3 linked regions of the Macaca fascicularis genome follow. The main gene of each other region encodes a partner of the protein of the gene in region 2 in a complex. Links are inferred from orthologs where the notes say so. Each region holds a gene or a part of one and is shown on either strand. Other genes may lie near its edges.

Evidence for each region. The genes of interacting proteins can lie anywhere in the genome.
Region 1: SMARCE1 (region 2) and SMARCA2 share a complex: the UniProt entries of both Homo sapiens proteins name them as parts of the BAF complex. The link is inferred for Macaca fascicularis from reciprocal best matches to the Homo sapiens genes SMARCE1 and SMARCA2.
Region 3: SMARCE1 (region 2) and SMARCB1 share a complex: the UniProt entries of both Homo sapiens proteins name them as parts of the BAF complex. The link is inferred for Macaca fascicularis from reciprocal best matches to the Homo sapiens genes SMARCE1 and SMARCB1.

What each region holds. Positions count from the first base shown.
Region 1 is NC_088389.1:97,062,990-97,070,410, reverse strand, and holds part of SMARCA2 (probable global transcription activator SNF2L2), read left to right. Parts: intron 1-450; coding exon 451-517; intron 518-1,181; coding exon 1,182-1,292; intron 1,293-3,917; coding exon 3,918-4,160; intron 4,161-5,576; coding exon 5,577-5,690; intron 5,691-7,421. UniProt on the Homo sapiens protein: ATPase involved in transcriptional activation and repression of select genes by chromatin remodeling (alteration of DNA-nucleosome topology).
Region 2 is NC_088390.1:61,717,369-61,724,789, forward strand, and holds part of SMARCE1 (SWI/SNF-related matrix-associated actin-dependent regulator of chromatin subfamily E member 1), read right to left. Parts: intron 5,493-7,421; coding exon 5,412-5,492; intron 4,418-5,411; coding exon 4,286-4,417; intron 3,995-4,285; coding exon 3,823-3,994; intron 1-3,822. UniProt on the Homo sapiens protein: Involved in transcriptional activation and repression of select genes by chromatin remodeling (alteration of DNA-nucleosome topology).
Region 3 is NC_088384.1:28,083,902-28,091,322, forward strand, and holds part of SMARCB1 (SWI/SNF-related matrix-associated actin-dependent regulator of chromatin subfamily B member 1), read left to right. Parts: intron 1-1,531; coding exon 1,532-1,669; intron 1,670-3,909; coding exon 3,910-4,037; intron 4,038-7,421.

The sequences.
Region 1 (7,421 bases), on a different chromosome or scaffold from region 2:
CTTTCAGGACTTTAAAAAAAAAGTCATTCAATATTTCTTCCCCGTTCCCTCTTGACAGATTTATTTTATGTTTTCATGTGGTTTTGTAATTTCTTTTTCCTGACTCAACTTTTTTCTGAACTTATATGACTGTTTATGAAGACTCCTAAAATTATTCTGGCAATTGCTCTTTTTAAATATCATATTACAGTTTAGTTTTTTGCTCTCTATATATTCTCTGGTTTTTTTCTTACAAGATTTTTTTTATGAACCACAAACTTGTCATGTTTTGTGACAGTTTATTTTGAACTTATCTCTTATTTCCACACCTTTAAAATATGTTGTTGAGATATGTTATATTCTGTAGCCCCTTTCAAGGTGAGGCCTGAAAATGAATAAGAACATCTTTTTAACCATTGATTTTTATACAAATGTCTTTTTTCTGTGTATTTTTTTTTTGTTGTTCCATAGGACTCTATCTAACTGGACATATGAATTTGACAAATGGGCTCCTTCTGTGGTGAAAATTTCTTACAAGGTTTGGAATGCTGTATTTATATATAAATGTGGAAAAGCAAAAAATAGACCGTATTTTCTTCATTCCATATGCACATCTGTGAACTGTATTTGGTTGTAAAGTTTTGTCATGTACATCATGTACTAAACCGTGAGAGTTAATCATCCCAAGAAGATTACTGTAATAAACCATAATTACTTTCAGATAGTGAAATCCAGAAGAAAATTGTTAATTATCATATTGCAAGGTTTCTGATGAGAGTAATACAAATGACAAATATCACACATTCTGCGTGCTGCTGACTGGCTCGCTGTGGGCTGCTACTGTGCCGACTGTTCCTGCAAAGTCAGGCAGTTACCCGGGTGCCCGGGCTGCCTGCTGTACTTTCTCAAAAGAACTGGAGCCTTTCAGCAGAGCAGTGGGTTCTCTACTACCACAAAGTCACTGTCATTTCTCTTTGCCCTCCCACTGTCTTTGGTGGGAAAACCTTTCTAAAAAAGATCTGAAAAGGGTCAAGACGTGTAATTTAGCCAAAACTTCCTCATGTATAATAGATCAGTCTATGAGAATGTGTGTCTGTGCATTCTTCAGTCACATGTCTGGGCATCATTAAGCTATGAATAGTGAGAAATAACACACATATATGTCCATAGGATCATGCATATACTGTTTTCTTTCCATTCAGGGTACTCCTGCCATGCGTCGCTCCCTTGTCCCCCAGCTACGGAGTGGCAAATTCAATGTCCTCTTGACTACTTATGAGTATATTATAAAAGACAAGCACATTCTTGCAAAGGTATGTTTCTAAAAAATTATTTTCTCTCTAATTATGGACCATCGCACTGGAATGTGAAGTATTGCCCAAATCAATAGTATAATTAGATCCTTAGATGGCTTGTCCCTTTCTTTATTTTTTAAAAATTTTGTCAGAGTTTGATGTATTTAGGTCATGGATTTGATTTCATGCATGCTATTTGTGTGTGTGTGTGTGTGTGTGTGTGTGTGTGTGTGTGTGTGTGTATGGTTGATCCTGGAATGGCTCTTGACTGTCCTCTCAGAGTTGATGAGTTTACATCTCTTAGAAAAATTCACCTGGTTGCTTCTGCAACTCTTTTCTCTCCAACAGCTTTGAACATTCTCGGGAGAGAAATAATTGTTTTTGTTGCCCTGAGATATTGTCAGTGTAACTTCATTCCTCTTGTGCCTTTGTTTCTCCAAAGATGAGCCAGACACCTCTGCATATGGTCTCCGCCATATGAACGTTTATCCAAGCATTGGCTTTTGTGGTAGTCTTGTTTCAGGTTTTTCCTGGTGAAATAATAGACTATCATTGTTGGATTACTCAAGGCTGTTTCTGTGACTATTTATTTGAAACTGAGAAAGAGGTGTTTCTGTGACTTACGTGTCTCCTAATTTGTGTGTCCTAAGTTGTTCCTCAGCCACAAAGTAGAAGTTTTTACCCCCATTTATATCATCTTGTCTTCTAGTACATTCATGTAGAAAGATGGAAGTACTCTCTCTCATGGAACAAATAATGAAAACTCATTTTTTTTCTCTTTAGTAATTTTTTTTTTTACCCCATGATGTTTTGAAAGCACTATAATCTGAAACTAAGTTATGTCCAAAATTGAATAGAACCTCTATTTCTGGGGTCTATTCTATCTCTGCATTAAACTCTTGCTCTGGGAACTGAGAGTTCCCTTCATGGCATCATAGGAAATAACAAAAAGGAAATGTGTTCCCAGGGGAGGTTTAATAATTGAGATGGCACTGGCAACAATGTTGTGTTCCACCTCCTCACACTCAGAGATGAATTTGGCAGTGTCAAAAATGATGTGTTTTCAATATTACTATGGGAATGTATTTGTACATTTGAGATCCTTTTAAAAAAATTCATATTGTGTCATCTGCATATGTATTTCAAGATTCATTGGAGATGCCTGGTAATGAGATGCATTGCTTTTATTTGTTACTGGAGAAATGGAGCTATAGAAAGGGGTAGTAATTTTGTCCAAGTGGAAGACCTAATTAGTAGTAGACCCAATAGCAAAATCAAAGGCCTCTGATTCTTTATTACTTCATAAGCTAAATTAGGCAAGAAAGTAGATTTAGGATATTTATTTAAATATATTTTTGTCTGCTTACCTCTTTTCATGCTATTGGTAAGTTTGAGGCAGTTGATTGTACAGTTTTAATTATCCTTTAAGCACTTTCCTTAGAGGTGGTGGAGGAAGGAAGAAAAATTGAGGTAGGTTTTTTGTTTGTTTGTTTGTTTACCTATACATCCCAGCCTGACTGATAATTTTATTCCTTTTCCCCCGGCATGTCTGATGCTTCTAATGAGGAAGGCAAGGACTGTATAGAATACTTCCCTCATCTCCCTTCTGTCTCTAGGAGCTTTGCAGCAGGATCTGGGGACATCTGAGCACCAGATGTTTTTCTTGGCCATAGCCACTGTTTTGTAGAGAATGGATAGGCTTAGTGGAACATTCCTCATTGTTCTCACTTTAAGAAACTGAACAGTGCTCTTAAGAGGACCGAAGGGCAAGGCATGAGAGAGGAAAGGGACTGTGTAGACAGGATGGAGGACTGGGCCATTTAAGCATTCTGGACGTTTTACGCAATAGTCATGTTGGGGAAGTATGCTGTATTTAATTCTGCAGTTTTGGCATAAATAGAGGAATGATATTTTTGCACTGCCCTTTCTGCCAGTGAGTATATACTTTTATTTTAGATAAAACAGGGGTCCTAGATCTGGCAGGTAAGGAATGTGCGTGTATTGAGGTCAGACCTAATTTTTGAAGAGCTGTATGTACAAATTTAATGTGAAATGGTCCAACTTTTAAATGTTAGCAACCAGTCCAAACAAAACAAAACACACTTCCCAGCCAAGCCCTAAAGGTAGTAACCAGCCAGGCTAATAGAAAAGAAGGTATGGAGCCAGGAATATCTCCGCTGTAGAACCTGCTAGGGCCATCTTGGAAAAATCAGTCATTAACCTCTGCTTCAGGTGGGTACCTATATTCTGCACCTGTCATGAGCCGAAATAGCATGACAATGAAATCTGGGATAGCTGTCATGATACAGTATTACTAGAAGGGGCACTGGATGGGGAGATACAGGATCCACATGTAGGAACAACCATGTCATTCTGGACCCAACTTTCTTTCTTTGTAAAAAGTTGATTTGGAATTACGAGGTCTGTAAGGAACATTGTTGCTTTAACATTCTATTATTACAGGATGTCTTATGCGGCCTATCAGGCATGAGACATTGTTGAGATTCTCTTGTCTCAAAGGTAATCACAGCATATCATATACCAAGGATGGGTTCTTTGGTTTTCCGCACCACTACTTGCTTGTTGGAAATAGTTGTATTTTCCCTTGCTTACTACATGTCCATCCTTCCTCTTATGTTATAGATTCGGTGGAAATACATGATAGTGGATGAAGGCCACCGAATGAAGAATCACCACTGCAAGCTGACTCAGGTCTTGAACACTCACTATGTGGCCCCCAGAAGGATCCTCTTGACTGGGACCCCGCTGCAGAATAAGCTCCCTGAACTCTGGGCCCTCCTCAACTTCCTCCTCCCCACAATTTTTAAGAGCTGCAGCACATTTGAACAATGGTTCAATGCTCCATTTGCCATGACTGGTGAAAGGGTACTGGTCTGACTTTTGTTTTTTCTACTGCATGACAATGACATGAAATGAAAGGCCCTAAAGCTGGGAACATTACTGCCACAGAACACCCGCAGGGTGGTTTACAATGTTGTTTATTTTATGAAACCCATTGGTGGGTGGACATGGTCTCGTGGTGGGGTTATTTTCCCCTCCTAGGAAAATGGATCTAGTGGTATACGGGGCATCTAATCCCTTTGTCTTTTGCCAGCATGTTTACCAGGCTACCAGAAAAGGGTCCTTACTGGTGGAACCAGTGGGCCACAGGGAGGATGAACATGGAGATATTTTGCTGAATTAATTTAACCAGACCAAATTAACAACTAAATACAAGCTTTAAACAAATCTTTCCTTGTTATAAACTTGGAGTTCCCTTTGAAATATTTCCACATGAAGAGTTTGTGTGTAAAACAGAACTAGTTTTCACTAATTTTCTGCACACTTTTTTTTTTTTTCTTTTTAGGTTTTAATGTGAGTTTCAGTTTTGTGTGTACATAAATTGTCTTCCTGGAGTAGCCATTTATTTTCCAGTTTCTTACTGTTCCTTCCACTGTCTTCTCTTAAGACCTCATTTATGAAAGGAAGACAATGAGCCGTTGCAAGAAAAGAACTGGGCCCATGTCATTTTCATAGTGGTTCCTCATTCATAGGAATGAAAAGCCACTAAAAATGCTTTAGTAAAATTTCAGTTTGAATTATTTCGTCCTTTGATTTTGAGGCACATGGGCCCCTCCTCAGTGGTTAACTCACTGGCTTGCCCATTTGTAGAAAGTAGTGTCAATCAACTCTGCCCCCTAGAGGTTAATAGGAGAAGGTGAAAGAGAAAGCCGGGAAATTTGTAAGTTTGGCTAAATTTGAACTAGATAGGGCTGAGAAAAGGAAAGGGGTGAAGTTAGAGGGACTTAGAGGTCCACCAGCATAAACTAGATCAACTCTTGTTCCTCTTCTTTATATGTGCAAGCCCCTGTTCCTTTAGTATGTTTCTGTGTCTGAGACAACCAAGACGAAGGGCCTAACTTAAGGCTGCCACTTTAAATAGGGAACATATTAACTATTGCCCCTCTTCTCCCGTTCTATCTCAATCTTCAGTCCGTCTTCATTGACAGTCATATTCCATACAATTTGGGGCTGTTGACACTACTGATAAAAACTGGTGGCTTCTGGACTCTTTTCCATAGAACTCAGCATTAAGACAAAGATCTATTTAGAGGTCATTTTGTTACCGCTTGGTAGGCAGGTGGGAAGATAATTCAGAGGTAGATATGATAGGCTTAAACCTGGCTTTAATGCATGTAAAATGTTAATCATGTATTGAACCATATAAGTGTAACATAAAGCTTTATTGTATGAAACATCCTTTTCTTTAAAACATCAAATTCATATAAGCCTCTCTTACAGGTGGATTTAAATGAAGAAGAAACTATATTGATCATCAGACGTCTACATAAGGTGTTAAGACCATTTTTACTAAGGAGACTGAAGAAAGAAGTTGAATCCCAGCTTCCAGAAAAAGTATGTCGCACAGTCCAAAGTTGTGGGGTTTTTTTTCCTCCAGCAAATATATTTGAAGTACCTGCCTCTGAGATTGTGTTTCTGAAACAGCAGACTCATATTGTAGTTATAAGTATCTTGAAAATATCTTAAAGTGCTTTTTTGTTTGGTAGGGCTAGAGAGAGAAGGGAAATTATAGCATTTGCAGCCTGTTTTCTAAAAGCGTTCGAGCGGATTTTATAAAATTATCAAATTCATTGAGTCTCATTTACATTTTAATTTTAGAATTTTTTTTTTTAAGTGGCCTCATTGAGTTCACTGTTGCAGGCACTGTAGAATTGTTCTGCTTATAAGTGAATGGAATATTTGACTTTGGGGACTTGTGTCATCATTGAAGGGGATGGGAAACATTAGCAGGTTTTCTAGAAATGTATTTAGTATTTGATGTTTGTGATGTCACCATTCTGACAGTAAGTGAAAAAACAAGAGTTTCTGCAAATTACAGACACACCATCTAATTATTTGGGGACATTATTTTTTTTCCGTGCCATAAAAATTAAGTTCCTGTGACCACGTTAAGCCAGTATTTTTCAGACTAACTTTTGGAAACTTAGTTTGTGGTGCTTTAGAACAGCTTCTGAGCCCTCCGCTCTATGTTTTGGGGTTGGATTTGAGTATTAGTTTACTATGTTTCTGATCGTATTTTGGAACCATGCATATTTGAATTCTAAGTTTCATTCTCTTAAAGATAGTTTAGCATTGTATACTATTTGTTGCATGAGGTATTTTGATTGGAGTTTTTTCTTTAGAAGAGCCAATTCTGAGATGTTTTATTTTTTGCATGATTGTGGTTTTTCTGGGTAACAACTCTATTTTTGGACAGATCGGTTCCTCCTGTTCATTTTTAAGTGGGAGTTGTCAAGATGGTGTACAAAGCTGATCACTTTGTTAAGAGAGAATTTTACTCCCTAATCCTTTATGCATTGATAGTCTGAAAAAAAATTAAAAATGATTTTTATACCATGCATGTCTCAGTGAAAGTCTAAGTATTTAAGTATTTAATTCTGCTGGTGAATGCATCTTGGGTGTAGAATGCTGTTGATACTCCCTTGGACTTCCTGTGGTCTTGGCCTCTGGGTAGCACCCTTGCTGTTCAAGATGGAGTTTAGTTACTGAGTACATAAATTGGTAAATGGGTATAGTGGCCATGTGGGTGCCTTGAATTACTTCCTAGCATACAATTACAGTGATTCTGCAAGTGATAGAGATGGAATGTTAATTATTTTAATTTATCACATAATTTCTTTTTTTTTTCTTTAGAAGAGGTATAAAATAAAAGGCAATTAACTGAAGCCTTTCATTTATTCATTCCGTAAAACTTCTTAATCTTGTTCATTCATTTCTAAGACTGGCTAATACAGATAGATTTTTAAAAATATATTGCAAGTTGAAAGTATGTTATGTTTTAAGAAAATCCACTAGAGAAAAATTGAAATTTTTGCAGCTTAAGAATTATGAGGTGATTAATTATATCACAGAGGAATTCTTTGCTTTACAAAAATATTTATTTTATGGTTCTTTCTATAAGAGAAGTTCCTGAGTATACTTGAAGGATGATAAAATTTTTTAAAACTGTGTTTACCCTCAAATTGTCAAGAGTATGTCTCCTGCGTGAAGTATACATGTACTCTTTAGCACCCAGAGTATTATATTTGAGATACGTAAAATAGTGTGTGGTATTATATATGGCTA
Region 2 (7,421 bases):
CCGGGTTCAACCGATTCTTGTGCCTCAGCCTCCCAAGTGGCTGGAATTACAGGCACATGACACCATGCCCAGCCAATTTCTGTATTTTTAGTAGAGATAGGATTTCACCATGTTGGCCAGGGCGGTCTTGAACTCCTGACCTCACATGATACGCCCATCCTGGCCTCCCAAAGTGCTGGGATTACAGGTGTGAGCCACTGCGCACACCCTATATGCTTATTTTTAATAGGTATCTAGTGTTTCCTTAATCTCAGTCTTTGCTCTATCGCCTTCATAGTTTTTCATATATCTACTAACAGCCTGTACTATTGTTTACTTAATATTTTTCTTTAAACTAACTCATTAAAAAAAAAAAAAGCTTTCTCTGTAGCAATACATACAAAACAAATGCTCCTTTTTGACCCACTTAATCACCTCAGTGTCCCACCAGACAGGGAGGAACCATACTTGAGCAAACCTTGTTACAGAGGAAACCCTGTTACAGAGGAAACCCCATTACAGAGGAAACCCCGTTACAGAGGAGAAAGCCCGTTACAGAGGAGAAAGCCCGTTACAGAGGGAACCCTGTCACAGAGGGAACCCTGTCACAGAGGAAAGCCTGTCACAGAGGGAACCCTGTCACAGAGGGAACCCTGTCACAGAGGGAAGCCTGTCACAGAGGGAACCCTTTCACAGAGGGAACCCTGTCACAGAGGGAAGCCCGTCACAGAGGGAAGCCCGTCACAGAGGGAAGCCCGTCACAGAGGAAACCCCATTACAGAGGGAAGCCTGTTACAGAGGGAAGCCTGTTACAGAGGACACCCTGTTACAGAGGGAAGCCTGTCACAGAGGGAAGCCCGTCACAGAGGGAAGCCCGTCACAGAGGAAACCCCGTTACAGAGGGAAGCCCGTTACAGAAGGAAGCCTGTTACAGAGGACACCCTGTTACAGAGGACACCCTGTCACAGAGGGAAGCCTGTTACAGAGGACACCCTGTCACAGAGGGAAGCCCGTCACAGAGGGAAGCCCGTCACAGAGGGAAGCCCGTCACAGAGGGAAGCCCGTCACAGAGGAAACCCCATTACAGAGGGAAGCCTGTTACAGAGGGAAGCCTGTTACAGAGGACACCCTGTTACAGAGGGAAGCCTGTCACAGAGGGAAGCCCGTCACAGAGGGAAGCCCGTCACAGAGGAAACCCCGTTACAGAGGGAAGCCCGTTACAGAAGGAAGCCTGTTACAGAGGACACCCTGTTACAGAGGACACCCTGTCACAGAGGGAAGCCTGTTACAGAGGACACCCTGTCACAGAGGGAAGCCCGTCACAGAGGGAAGCCCGTCACAGAGGGAAGCCCGTCACAGAGGGAAGCCCGTTACAGAGGGAAGCCCGTTACAGAGGGAAGCCTGTTACAGAGGACACCCTGTTACAGAGGAAACCCCGTTACAGAGGGAACCCTGTTACAGAGGAAACCCTGTTACAGAGGGAAGCCTGTTACAGAGGAAAGCCTGTTAGAGGGAACCCTGTTAGAGGCCTTTGTGGTGCTCCTATGTCAGTTTAGCACCTCTCTTATTGTCTTGCACTTAAGCAGTTCCTAAAATTCTCATTATCATAAATACTATAGCTAAAAACTGTTGTTTTTGTAAAAAGTTAAAAAAATTACTTTTCTTTCCTTTTGAGTAATTCCTTTAGGAAATAAACTTCTGAAATTAAAACTATTAGGTAAGATACAGTTTTTTAAAAACTCTGTAATCTTTCTACTTTTTAAGAGTTTTTCACCTTTAGGGTTATATGTGGTATATCTGTGCTACGTCTGTCTAAGTTATCTGTTTTTGTTATTTTTTATTTTCTTCTTTCATTTATATGGCCCCAGTGTTGACCACAGATGGGGTAATAAGGTCTAAGAATTTGGGCTTGTTCTTCCTTGCATGTAAGTCATCTGCTTCCTTTTTTCGGGGAATGGCTTTTCTAATTATGATCTAATTGAACAGCTATTTATCCCATGAAGAGGCTCTCATTGAACAAAAGCCTTCATTGTCTTGTGTAGATAATTGCACATGCCCTCTTTTTTTTTTTTTTTTGAGACTGGGTATTGCTCTGTCATCCAGGATGGAGGGCAGTGGCATGATCATAGCTCACTGCAGTCTCGAACTCCTGGGCTCAATTGATCCTCCCACCTCAGCCTCAGTTGGAGCAGCTGGGACTACAGGCACAAGCCACCATGCCCAGCTAATTTTTAAGTATTCTGTAGAGATAGAGTCTTGCTGTGTTGCCCAGGCTGGTCTCAAACTCTTGGCCACAAGCAATCCTCCTGCTTTAGTTAAAAGTATTGGGATTACAGGCGTGAGCCATGGCGCCTGGTCATGTCTATCTTTTGATAGTCCTCTGTTAAAGAAGTCAGTAGCTGCTGTACTTCATGCAGATGCCACCTTTCTCTTATGTACATTTGACATACATTTCCACCTCCCAAGTCTTCCTCTAATCATTTTCATACTGGCATGCTAAAGACATTCTCATACTGGCATCTTAATTACTACCTGAACTTACTTACTAGCAACTTTAAGACCCACCCTTAAAGTTAAAAACATAATAGGCCCAAGTTTGAGACTGTTTCTGAGTGAATCTCTTCAGTCCTTCTGAATGTTCATGGTGTTAATGAAAGCTTTAGTTATTTTCTACTTACGTTGCTAGCCTTTGTTTCCTCTTGTACTGACCCCCATCCTCCCAATATCTGTAGCCTGGATCATCTTCTGTATGTTTCTCTTGCATTAATCATCCCATTTGAGTAATTACAGTGTGAGGATGCTAGTGTGTCTTTAGCACTGCTGATTCTGTTTAACACTCAATACTGTTTCTATTCCATATTCTATTCTCTATAGTGTTACATTCCACTGTCTGTATTTATGAGAACATTTGACAATATTCCAGTCCATTATTTTAAAAAATGATTTCTGTTTTTCCCCACTTTTATCAACTTATTCTTGTCTTCAGGTGCTATTATTGCTTCCTCCCTCATTGATACTGTCTTTAAAGTTCTTATAGCCTTCCTCTTTGTTACTGCAACTTTAAGATGGGATCTTAAATCATTTTCCTGATGTTTTTGTCACTTGTAGCTAGAGCTTCTAACCTTTTGCACATCATAGCAGTACACAGAGAAACTATTAGTATTTATATAGCACATTAAATATGTGGTTGAGTGTGTTCACACTGCAAATGGCTATCTCTGGGTCTCCTTGCAGCTTCAGACCCTGCCTGGCTGCACAAGACCAGAACAATCAGCACACCTGCTAACTACTCATACAGAACGGCAATTAGGAAGCTCTGCTATTCGTGTGCATGTATAAAATTTGTATGGGTGTACCCTCATGTACACCCATAAAAGTAGTAGCATGAGCTATATTTATACATTCTTATTGGATTTCTGAATTAAATGGAAAGGAAACTTCATAATGTTTCCACATACTCATTAGCTTCTCCCTTAAGAGCCTCTAATTCAGCGAATTTAGTGAACCAGTAAGAAAACAGGATATAACTAGAATGCATTTAGCTTTGTAAAAGCAGATGAGGCAAAATCCTGATTGTGATTTAAAAACCTTTCATGCATTTTGAGTACAAAGATTTTGATAAACAATAAATAATTTTTGCCATTTTCTGCACTCAAAAGGATATTTCTTTTTCTTGTGGGAAATTCACATACAAATCTTACTCAATATAAGCAAAATACTGAGGTGACACATAAATTATGCTTTCTTTTCCATTTAGGATAAGAAATAAAACACACCTAAGAGATTACTCATATCCTAACTCTCAGAGAAAGCATAAACAAAACCCCACTTTTTTTCTTTTACCATCTGGATCTTCAGCCGGCTGAATGCTCATGTACGGTTCCCCTTTCTCCATGCGAGACTGTCTCTGTCGACTTTCTTCCTCTAAAGCAGCTTCTGCACGACTTTTTGCATTTATGTAAGCAAGGTACGCGGGGGAATTATGATAGGCCTTCATAGATTCATTGTACTCTATCTGAAATTCAAATGTTTTTTGGTTTTATAATTAACATTTTACAGGTTATAATGCAGACTTATGTTATCTCATTTGAATATCAAAAGATATGATGTAAACAGGGTGTTCGGATAATTATCTCCTTTTTACGGACAAGAAATCTGAGGCCTTGAGAAATTGACTTGACTCAGGAAGACAAAGCCTCAGTACAGCATCAGCCTTCTGACCAAATCTTATGTTTCTTTTATAAATAGTAAGCCAGTGTTTTTGTACTTTACACATTATCTATCCCACTGTGAGCCCCTATCCTACCTTTTCTGCTTCGTATTCGTTTAAATATTCTTGTTTTTCTTCATCAGTGAGATCTCGCCACATGCCACCAATAATCTTGCCAATCTCCCACAACTTTAGGTCAGGGTTGGAAGCCTTTACTTGGTCCCAGACCTTAAAAAGAAAACAGATGAAATGTTAATACTGATGTCTAAATGTATAGACCTTTAAAAATGCTTTTTAATATGGAAACTTTTGAACATAAAAAGCAGAGACAACAGTATCAAATTTCTATGTACTCATCAGCCTACTTCAACAATGATCAACGACTGACCAACCTCAGGTTATCTTTGCCCTACTGGATTATTTTAAGATAGATCTCAGACATCATGTCACTCACTTATAAATACTTCAATGTGATATGCAAGAATATCTCCAATCACTACAGACACTTAAGATGAATTACTTCAATAACACAGTCTATGTCACTAAAAGTTCACGTGAACTTAGAAGTGCTTAATTTGCGTAACACAATACATCATATTATCAAAAACCAATGTAATAGTCAAGATCAAAAGGTTTACAATTTCTAGATAGTAGTTATAATGCTCTGCCTTTTAATAAAGATATTGGCTATTTTTTTAATTTTAAGAGTAACGTAAGTTCATCACCAAAAAAAAAAAAAAAAAAAGGAAAACTTGAGGAAAAGAAAATAAAAACTACCATAAGCTTACTGCTTAGAGATAACCTGTCTCTAAGGTTATCTATGTTTTCTGTGTTTTCTTCTGTCTTCTGTGTTTTCCCCCTTCAAACTAACATATGGTTGCCATCATTTTTATAAAAATGAGATATTAATTCATGTAGTTTTGTAGTCCTCCTTCACTTAATATTTTCCTCATGTCATTAAATATTCTCCAAAAGACATGACTTTAATGGCCACAGAACATTCTATCTTAAGGATTTTAACAGTTTATTTAATCATGCTCCTCTTGTTGGATTTTAGTTCTGGAATTCTGAAATCAGAACTAATTGCCTTAAAAACTGTATTTTTTCGGTCCTTTCCTCCGAATATGCACAGAAAAGCTGGCTAAGCCAATCTAAAATTGGATGCAAAGAAAGAAGCAGCAAAGACAGTGTCCTCATTCCTTTCCAGGTCCTAAGCGCCTACCTTTCTGCTGTACCTCATGTAGGGCATCAGCGGCTTATCTGGTGGCTTTGGGGGTTTTGGAATCGTAATACCAGAGGATGCCTACAAAAGAGTTAAATACATTCATTATTCAGCTGTAAGGAGTTCACCGGCAAACTGAAAAGAGAGTCCCTTAAAAAATTCTAATGCGCCTTTCTTCTACTCGTCCAAATATTTTCTCCACTGAAAATAGCTATCACTGCAAATTCAGAAATGTTCAAAAGAAAATGACTTTAAGCACAAACTTTTTAAATGTTTTACTTAGCAGTTTATTGCCAATGCTTTGACAACCTGGCTGCAGGAACAAATAAAATATTACATAGTAACCCATACATTGAAAATATATGGTTATATATCAACCGTCTCACATTCAGGACATTACCTGGCACCCTCTCATTCTGCTCAATTACCATTACACATACAGTCAACACTTGATTATCTGCAGCAGGATCTGAACCCTTAACACTTACCATTCTCACACTGTCTACAGGGGCCTTAACCTATTAGCACTATGTCAGGAATGTACTCCCAATATCACCACAAAAACAACTTCTCAGGTTCAAAAACAATTAGTGAAATAACAAACCACTTTACCTCCTTTGCCAGGCTAGAGATTTTATTTCTCTTAAGGTTCTGTCTGTTACCTAGTGGTTTTCTTGTAAAGGGGAAGGAGAAGTGTGAATGAAAGTCACACCTTTTTGTGTCCTTAGTCCTAATCACAGTGTAAAAGCAAACAAGTTTATCCGGAACAGAGAAGTGGCAGATATGGGGCCTGATTGTTATTTTTGAGGTGTTATATCAAGAAGTTCCATTCCATTAAAAATGTTTGGTTTTATGGGAAAGACAGAGGAAAAGGAAAGATGTGATGTGCAGGAAAAGAAAGACAGAAGAAAAGGAGGGGGAGGGAAGACTGAAAAATATTTTTTAAAAAGGTAAAGCAAAAATAGGTGAGAGAAAAAATAAAAAAAGAAGGAAAGAGAAAGATAAAGTGATCAGTTTTTCCTGTGGTCTAAAGTCTAGGTGAGATTCCAGACAGCTTCTGGTAGACCACCCAGATAACACCCACCTAAAAGTATTTATTTCTGAACTTTTTAGTCTCCTCTTAATATACATGACTGCATTTGATTAAAGACCCAGAATAAGAAAAATCATTGCTATTTCAGACAATTTGCAAATTTTCAGGAGATCTCCTCTAATACTGACTCTCCCTGCTAGGCTGGAGAAATGAAGTGCTGGCTTTATTCTAATTATCAAAAGACAGGATTGGCAAATCCCTATAAGAAAACTAAAGTAACATTTTGTTCGCTTCCCCTTCTGTTGTTGCTATGATAAAACCCCAGAGATACTCCTCCACTCTGGGCTGGGACCCCAATCATAACCTTATTTTTCATTTGAGGGCTCAGGGATTAGCATGTTTGTGTCCTTTTCCACTATGATCAAGAAATGTTTCCTCTTCCTACAAGGGTCTCTCTCCATCCCTGTAACTCTATTTCTTCATATATGAAGTTATTAGAAAGCATTTCGCCTTGGAAGCAGTATTTCCTCTCTTTCCATTCCTTCCATGCATTCTTACTACACCTCATGCTAGTGCCCAGGTAGACAGACACTGTTTTTGGCCAGCAGTGGGTAAGAGAGTAAGATGGCCAGGGGGCATGGAAACTATCAAAAGTGGTGGGGTAGCAGCCAATAAAGGGAAACCTGTATCAGGGTTTGTACAAGTTCTTTTAAGGGGAAAGGGAATTCCTCTAAGACTAACCTTACGGATTCAGAGGAACAGACACACACAAGTCTGCTTCTTCACACATAGTTATTAGAAAGCATTTCCAACTCATATCCAACACAAACCTTCAGAATTCCATGAAATGGGTTACAAATAAGGTTGGAATTGTGCCCATAATTGAGGTGGTTAAGACTACTGTCAAATTTTTTTTGAAATTAAAGAGGTAAAGAATTCTAAAATGCCTATGCTTTCGAGCTTTAAGTATGAATTAA
Region 3 (7,421 bases), on a different chromosome or scaffold from region 2:
CACAGCCTTGCCAGGGAAAATGGGAACGCACAGAGTACAGCAGGCACCCAAATGCTCTCATCTGTCTCACCCAGCCCTGGAGCCTTTGCCTTTGTTTAAAATAGCTTTTGGTGTGTGTGTATGTGTGTGTGTGTATATATATATATATATATATATTTTTTTTTTTTTTTTTTTAATTAAAGATAGGGTGTTGCCATCTCACCCAGGCTGGAGTGCAGTGGCTGATCTCGGCTCACTGCAACCTCCGCCTCCTGGGTTCAAGTGATTCTTATGCTTCAGCCTCCTGAGTAGCTGAATTATAGACGTGTGCCACCACATGCCTGGCTAATTTTTGTATTTTGGGTAGGGTTGAGGTTTCACCACGTTGGCCAGGCTGGTTTTGAACTCACCTTTTTTTTTTTTTTGAGACAGAGTTTCGCTCTTGTTGCCCAGGCTGGACTGCAGTGGCGTGATCTCGGCTCACTGCAACTTCTGCCTCCCAGGTTCAAGCGATTCTCCTGCCTCAGCCTCCTGAGTAGCTGAGATTACAGGTGCCTGCTACCACACCTGGCTAATTTTAGTAATTTTAGTATAGACAGGGTTTCACCATTTTGGCCAGGCTGGTCTCGATCTCCTGACCTCAGGTGATCCACCCGCCTTGGCCTCCCAAAGTGCTGGGATTACAGGTATGAGCCACCGCGCCTGGCCTGGTTTCGAACTCTTGACCTCAGGTGGAGTGCCCACCTTGACCTCCCAAAGTGCCAGAGTTACAGGCATGAGCTGCTGCGCCTGGCGCTTTTGGTAAAAGTAACCTGGAATTTGGGAGAGAAGATCAAACTCTTCACGGGACATGGGTTATTTAAATTACTTTGGATGTCACCTCTGGAAGGTGTTTATCAACCCATCTTCTGACTTCTACTGCTCTGGAAGCTCGGAGGCCAGAGGCCTTGCCTAGTCCATCTCAGGATGGCTAGTATGTCTAAAATGACAGTCTGATCACGTCTCTTCCTTCAAAACACTGGGGACTCCCAGCCATCTGCTGAGTAAAGTCATCTTCTCACGGAGCATGTGAGACCTGTGATCAGTCCCCTCCCTGGGGGCCCCCTCCCTGGACTGCCCCTCAGTCTCTCCTCCCTGCTGCTGCCTGTGCCCCTCCCCACAGTGAACCCTGACTTGGTGTCTAAGGCTCTGCTCTATTGTCCACCCCTTGTACAAGCCTCCCCCTTGTACCACTTCCCGCATCTCCAGGAAGTGCTTCTGTGGAGCCATGCCTGGCTCATAGTGCAGTACACCATGGCCATGGGTTAGCAACTGACCTGCGTGCTGGGCTGTGTCTGGTGCCCCTCCATACCCTTGCCCTTGCTCAGGTGCCTCTAGCATCTGATGACAGCCTGGGGAGCAGGCTTCTGCAAAATCAGGTGCACAGACAACTCCCACGGGAGCCTCGAGCCTGACAGAGGTACAGTGGGCATCCCCTGAGCATGAGTTGATTCCTGGTGGGCAGGATCAGGCTCCTAGACTGACTGGGGGGACTTTTCTTGTATCTCCCCAGGGAACAGAAGGCCAAGAGGAACAGCCAGTGGGTACCCACCCTGCCCAACAGCTCCCACCACCTGGATGCCGTGCCATGCTCCACGACCATCAACAGGAACCGCATGGGCCGGGACAAGAAGAGAACCTTCCCCCTTTGGTGCGGATGTGTCGCTGTGCTCACCCTCTGCCCTGATTCTCCCTTAGTTCTCCAGCACATTTCAGTCCCCTCCTCCCCAGAAAAACACTGCTTTGACCTTGTGCTCCCCACAATGCTACAGTACCTCCTCCTCTTTGAACCACTGTGTTTCCCTGACCTCCAGGACATTGTCTGTAGCCTCTTTGGCTCTGTCTGCTGTCACCTTGCCGTGTCCTCCTCACCTCTCTGGCCCCTCAAGTGGAGTTACTCGGGGCACGGTCCATGTGCCCTTTCTCTGCCCTCAGTTTCACACGAGTGGGTCATAGCCAGTCTGACGGTTCACGTGCCATCCACGTGACTCCCACTGCGCCACCACTTCCCAGAGGCTGCTGGAATAAACCACCACAAACTGGTGGCTGCCAGCAGTGCACAGTTCTTCCCTCACAGTTCGGGGGCCCAGGAGCCCAGATTTGGTTTCACTGGACCAGATGCATGTGTAGACAGGGCTGTGCTCCCTCCAGAGGCCCTCGGGGCGATTCGGTCCTTGCTGCTTCCGGCTTTGGGGGCTGCCACATTCCTGGGCTTGTGGCTGCCTCACTTCAGTCTCGGCCTCTGTGGTCATGTGGCCTTCTCTGCGTGAAATCTCCCTGTCTGTCTCTTAGAAGGACACTTGGTGATGTAATTTAGGGCCCTTCTGGTTAACCTCTCAGGATCTTTCACTTAATCGCATCTGCAAAGTCTCCTTTTTTGGCCATATGAGGTGACAGTTATAGGTTTTGGGGATTAGGCTGTAGATGTCTTCGGGGTCTGTTTTTTACCTCTGCAGCCCAGACTTCCTCAGCTGCCCTCACCCCCTCAGCCTCATGCTGCCTGAAGACTTCTCCATCTCGGCGCATGGAGATCCAGCCGTCTCCTTGCTCAGGCTGTAGCTTTCTTTCCCAAGGCCTGCCTTTTCCTCACACAGCAAGTCCAGTCTCTCCAAGGTCCCACCCAGGACTGCCTTGGCCAGCCCCGCACTGCTCTCCCTGGGGTCTCTAGCAGCCCCTGCCTCCCCTCCCTGTTGCCTTCTCAGCTCTGCAGCTGGTGTGTCCTCTGCTCCAGGCATATCGTGTCACCTCTCCACGCAAAATCCTCCAGGCTCCCCATCACCCTCGGAGCAGAAGGAGGAGTTCTCACTGGGGTGCCAGGCCCAACCTGGCCTGGTGCTGCCACTGCCACACTCTGCCCCACTCACTCTGCCTCAGACCTGAGATCGCCCTCACTGCTGTCAGACCTCCCAGAGCTTCTGCCCAGCAGTTGCCTCTGCTAAGGTTTAGCCCGTTCTCCTTCCTCCCCTCTTTCCTTTCTTCTTTCTTTCCTTCCTTCTTTCTTTCCTTCCATCATTTCTCCTTCCCTCCTTCCCATCCTTCCCCCTCCTCCTTTTCCTTCTCTCTTCCTTCCCTCCATCTCCTCTTCCCATCCCTAGTTGACTGTCCCCTTCTCCCTTAGAGTGGCCACCCCTTTCCTCCAGCACCCCTACCCCTTTCCCTGTCTGTTTCCCAGCGCATTCATGCCTGGCACTCAGCTCGTTTCTCTCTCTCTTCCATCTGCCTCCCAAGATCGCTGGGGCCCTTCTCAGCCCTCTCCATGCTCCCAGACGCCCTTAGGTGTCCTCTGTCCTCCAGCTCCATCTCACCAACCTGCCTGCCCAACTCTTCCCTCTTTATCTTCCCAAAATACTCAACTCCATTGCTTGGAATCCTCCTGGGACTCCCTCAGGGCAGTGGCCAGTTTGCGTAGCCTGAGAGGAGAACTGTGGGTGCTTCGACACCCGCTAGCTTTGCAGCATCCCTGACCACTGCCCCCCATGGAATCTGTGCTCTGTGGTCTGTTTGTGCGTCCTCAGCAGTTCCTCCATTCACCTGCTTTGGCCTTACTGGAATATATCCTCTTCTAGAAATGCTATTCTGCTTGCCTACAGCCTTCTGTGAAAGTCCTGCCAAATTTCAGGCTTAAATATCCCTTCACAGGACATCTGGGTTTTGTTCCAGCACTGCCCGGGTCGATCCTATTGCAGACAGACTGGTGCTTGTCATTTATGGACCCACCTGTCCCCATTAGACCATGGCCCTGGGACCCCTGCTGCCTCAGCTGTTAGCTGATAAGTGACCATGTTCCCCAGATGGGTTTGCAGAGGCCTGCTGTGCAGAGAGGGAGGCTGAAAATTTGCATGCCTAGGGCCCTGGCACCCTCACTGACTGTTGCTTCCATTTCACTTTCAGCTTTGATGACCACGACCCAGCTGTGATCCACGAGAATGCATCTCAGCCTGAGGTGCTGGTCCCCATCCGGCTGGACATGGAGATCGATGGGCAGAAACTGCGAGACGCCTTCACCTGGAACATGAATGGTACAAGGCAGTCGGGCTTGGCTGGGCCTGGCCCCAGCCCCTGTGTGTTACGTGGGAACAGTCCCCTTTCCTACCAGCTGCCTGTCAGGCAGATTCTGGACCTGACATGCGGGACATCGGGGCATAGTTTTGGAGGGTGTGGGCTCTGGGTTCAGCCCTGGTTCTGTTGCTGTTCACTGTGGGTTGGGCATGTGAACTTTGGACTCCTTTCCCCATACTGAGGTTGGGGGGCCCAAGGGGCCTGGCATGGGAGGTGGCTGGTGTGCATAGCATGGATGATGATGACAATGCCACTTAGACCTAGTTCAGCCCCCGAGCCCTGCACACACCTGCCTTGGGTCCTGTCCACCACCCTGTTTCTGCTGTGTGAGGCTGCATGTGTGCCCTGTGCCTCTCTCCTCCCCTAACTGGTCATCTCTTTAGATATCCTCACTCTGTAAGTCCTGGGTCAGGTGCCATCTCTTCTGGCTCTTCCTGGGCTTCCAAAGCCTGAACAGAACTCAGTCTTTGTGCAGATGTAGACAGAAAGGTTAGAAGGGTATGCATCCCAAGTGTCTAGACTGCTTATCCCATCTGGGAGGGAGGATCATGCATGCATTTATTTTGCTATTTTTTTCTAAGTCTGTTAGAATGTATTTTTGTTATTTTATTTTATTATTACTGTTTTTTTAGATCTTGTTGAATACCAGGTTTTTTTGTTTTTTGTTTTTTAACTTAGTGTCTGTATCCTGCTGAATTTTTATAATGAACATACTCTTTATATTAAGACAAAATGCAGTGAATATCATCTTTATTTTATTTTACCTATTTTATTTTGTTTTTTTTTAAGAGACAGAGTCTCACTCTGTTGCCCAGGCTGGAGTGCAGTGATACTTTCATATCTCGCTGTAATCTTGAACTGCTGGGCTCAAGCATTCCTCCTGCCACAGCCTGCCAAATAGCTAGGAATACAGGCATATTCCACTGTGCCGAGCGTTATTTTTAAATGGGTGAATGTTTAAAATCATCAGAATCTCACCACCCGAATAATATTTTCAGTTTTACCTTTTCTCTCTGTCAATTCCACATGCAAACATATTTAACACAGTTGTCACTATAGAGCAAGTCTTGTTTTATTTTTCTTCACTTGTCCTAAGTATCTTTCTGGTTTCTCTTTTTTTGTGGGGGGAGATGGAGTCTCACTCTGTCGCCCAGGCTGGAGTGCAGTGGCACGATCTCAGCTCACTGCAACCTCTACCTCCTAAGTTCAAGCGATTCTCCTGCCTCAGCCTCCTGAGTAGCTGGAACTACAGGCACCCGCCACCATGCCTGGCTAATTTTTGTATTTTTAGTAGAGATGGCGTTTCACCATGTTAGCCAGGCTGGTCTTGAACTGACCTGAGGTGATCCGCCTGCCATGGCCTCCCACACTGCTGGGATTACAGGCGTCAGCCACTGTACCCAGCCTCTTTCTGATTTCTTTAATCTTCAAACAGTGCAGCATTTTCTACTGGGTCGAGGTACCTTTGTTTGCTAAAACACCCTCTGCTGTAGACGTCTGCACGGCAGATAACATAGTTGCAACATTTTTCTCTCCGAAGGGATTTCCTAAGGGAGGAGAGTATGAGTGGTTGTGGCTGCCTTGAGCTTTCTGGAAGGATTAGGCTGCTTCCTTTGGTCATCCCCAGGCACTCGGCATGCTAGGCCTGAGTGCTAGGACTACCACTTGCTCACACTAGTGCCAGGCCTGAGTCCAAAGGCTTCTGCTTAGCCCTGAGAAGAATGCCTGAGAGCCATCTGCCGGGTGCCTGTCCCCTAGGTCCCACAGGTTAGCTGGTGAGCGGGGACGCCAGGGAGAGGAGACATGGGTGAGGGAGGACACTGGCAAGAGACTCCAGGAGGTTGTATTGAGTGTAGATGGGGACAGGTACAGTTCACTGGTCATGCCCCAGAACAGGGACAGGACAGCCCATGGGCACCAGGCCACCAGCGCTGCACAATGCCTTGGCAGTGTTATCTCTGCCAAGCTGCCTGCTTATCTCTGCTGGCCCGCATCAGAGTTATTTGTTAATTCTTGTCTCTCCCTCTCCATTTCAACCCTTTAAGGTCAGGGGCCTTGTTTTTCATTGCCGTTTTCTTTTGAGATGGAGTTTCGCTCTTATTGCCCAGGCTGGAGTGCAGTGGCACGATCTCAGCTCACCACAACCTCCACCTCCCAGGTTCAAGTGATTCTCCTGCCTCAGCCTCCCGAGTAGCTGGGATTACAGGCATGTGCCACCATGCCTGGCTAATTTTGTATTTTTAGTAGAGATGGGGTTTCACCATGTTGGTCAAAGTGGTCTTGAACTCCTGACCTCAGGTGATCCGCCCGCCTCAGCCTCCCAGAGTGCTGGGATTACAGGTGTGAGCCACTGTGCCCGGCTGCTGTTTCTCTTAACATATCATCTAGCCCAGCATAGGAATTTAGTTGTTCACATTGGATCAGTCCATGCTCTGTCTCGTTACGTTTCTTTGGGCAACACATAGAAAGTTCCAGTTTGTTTATACCCCCACCCTGTTCCAAAAAGCATGTAAGGAAGCTTACCATAAGTACACTGGGCCCAAATGACTAAAGCAAATGCAAATGGAGTGGTTAGGAAAAACTGGATAAAGAAGAAATGTTCAAGTTGAAGAGGGAGCTTGCACTCAGATTTTGTTTGGTGAATCATTGCTGGGAATTGGGCGTGGCTCTGGGCCTTTTTAGAACCAGGCAGAGTGAGACGTGAGGATCATTTGCACACTCAGTGTGGTCAATGTTAGCAGCAGCCTGTGGCTCTGAAGAAGTAGAATCACACGTGGTCCTGGAATCTGAGGTTTCCTGCAGCCCTCAGGAAGAGGGCACGGTATAGTAAGGAAGACCAGGATCATCCATGAACTCCACAGTGAGTTTCACTGGGCTGTTCCTCCTAAGAGTCCTCATGTAAAATACGATGTCCACTGAAAGTAATTTAGAACACAGTCTTAACTGGTGGAGAACCAAAATAGTGTTGTTCTGTGAACTCTTCCTCAGCTCTGGGTGGTATTTGGCGTTTGGAAGAGCTGTGATTCTTAACTGGTGGTTAGAAGGCCGTGCCAAAATTGTTACTGATTTGCTTTGAAATTTCACATCATCTTAAAGGTGGGCATGAGAGTCTTTATCACAGAGGGATTAAATATGTAAAGTAGCATTACCGGAGTAGCATGAATGAAGTGTATGTTCTTCAGGCCACCTTCAGAATCAGGATTGGCCAGGCGTGGTGGCTCACACCTGTAATCCCAGCACTTTGGGAGGGTGAGGTGGGAGGATCACTTGAGGCCAGGAGTTTGAGACCAGCCTGGCCATGATGGCGAAACCCCATTTGTACTAAAAATATAAAAATTAGTCTG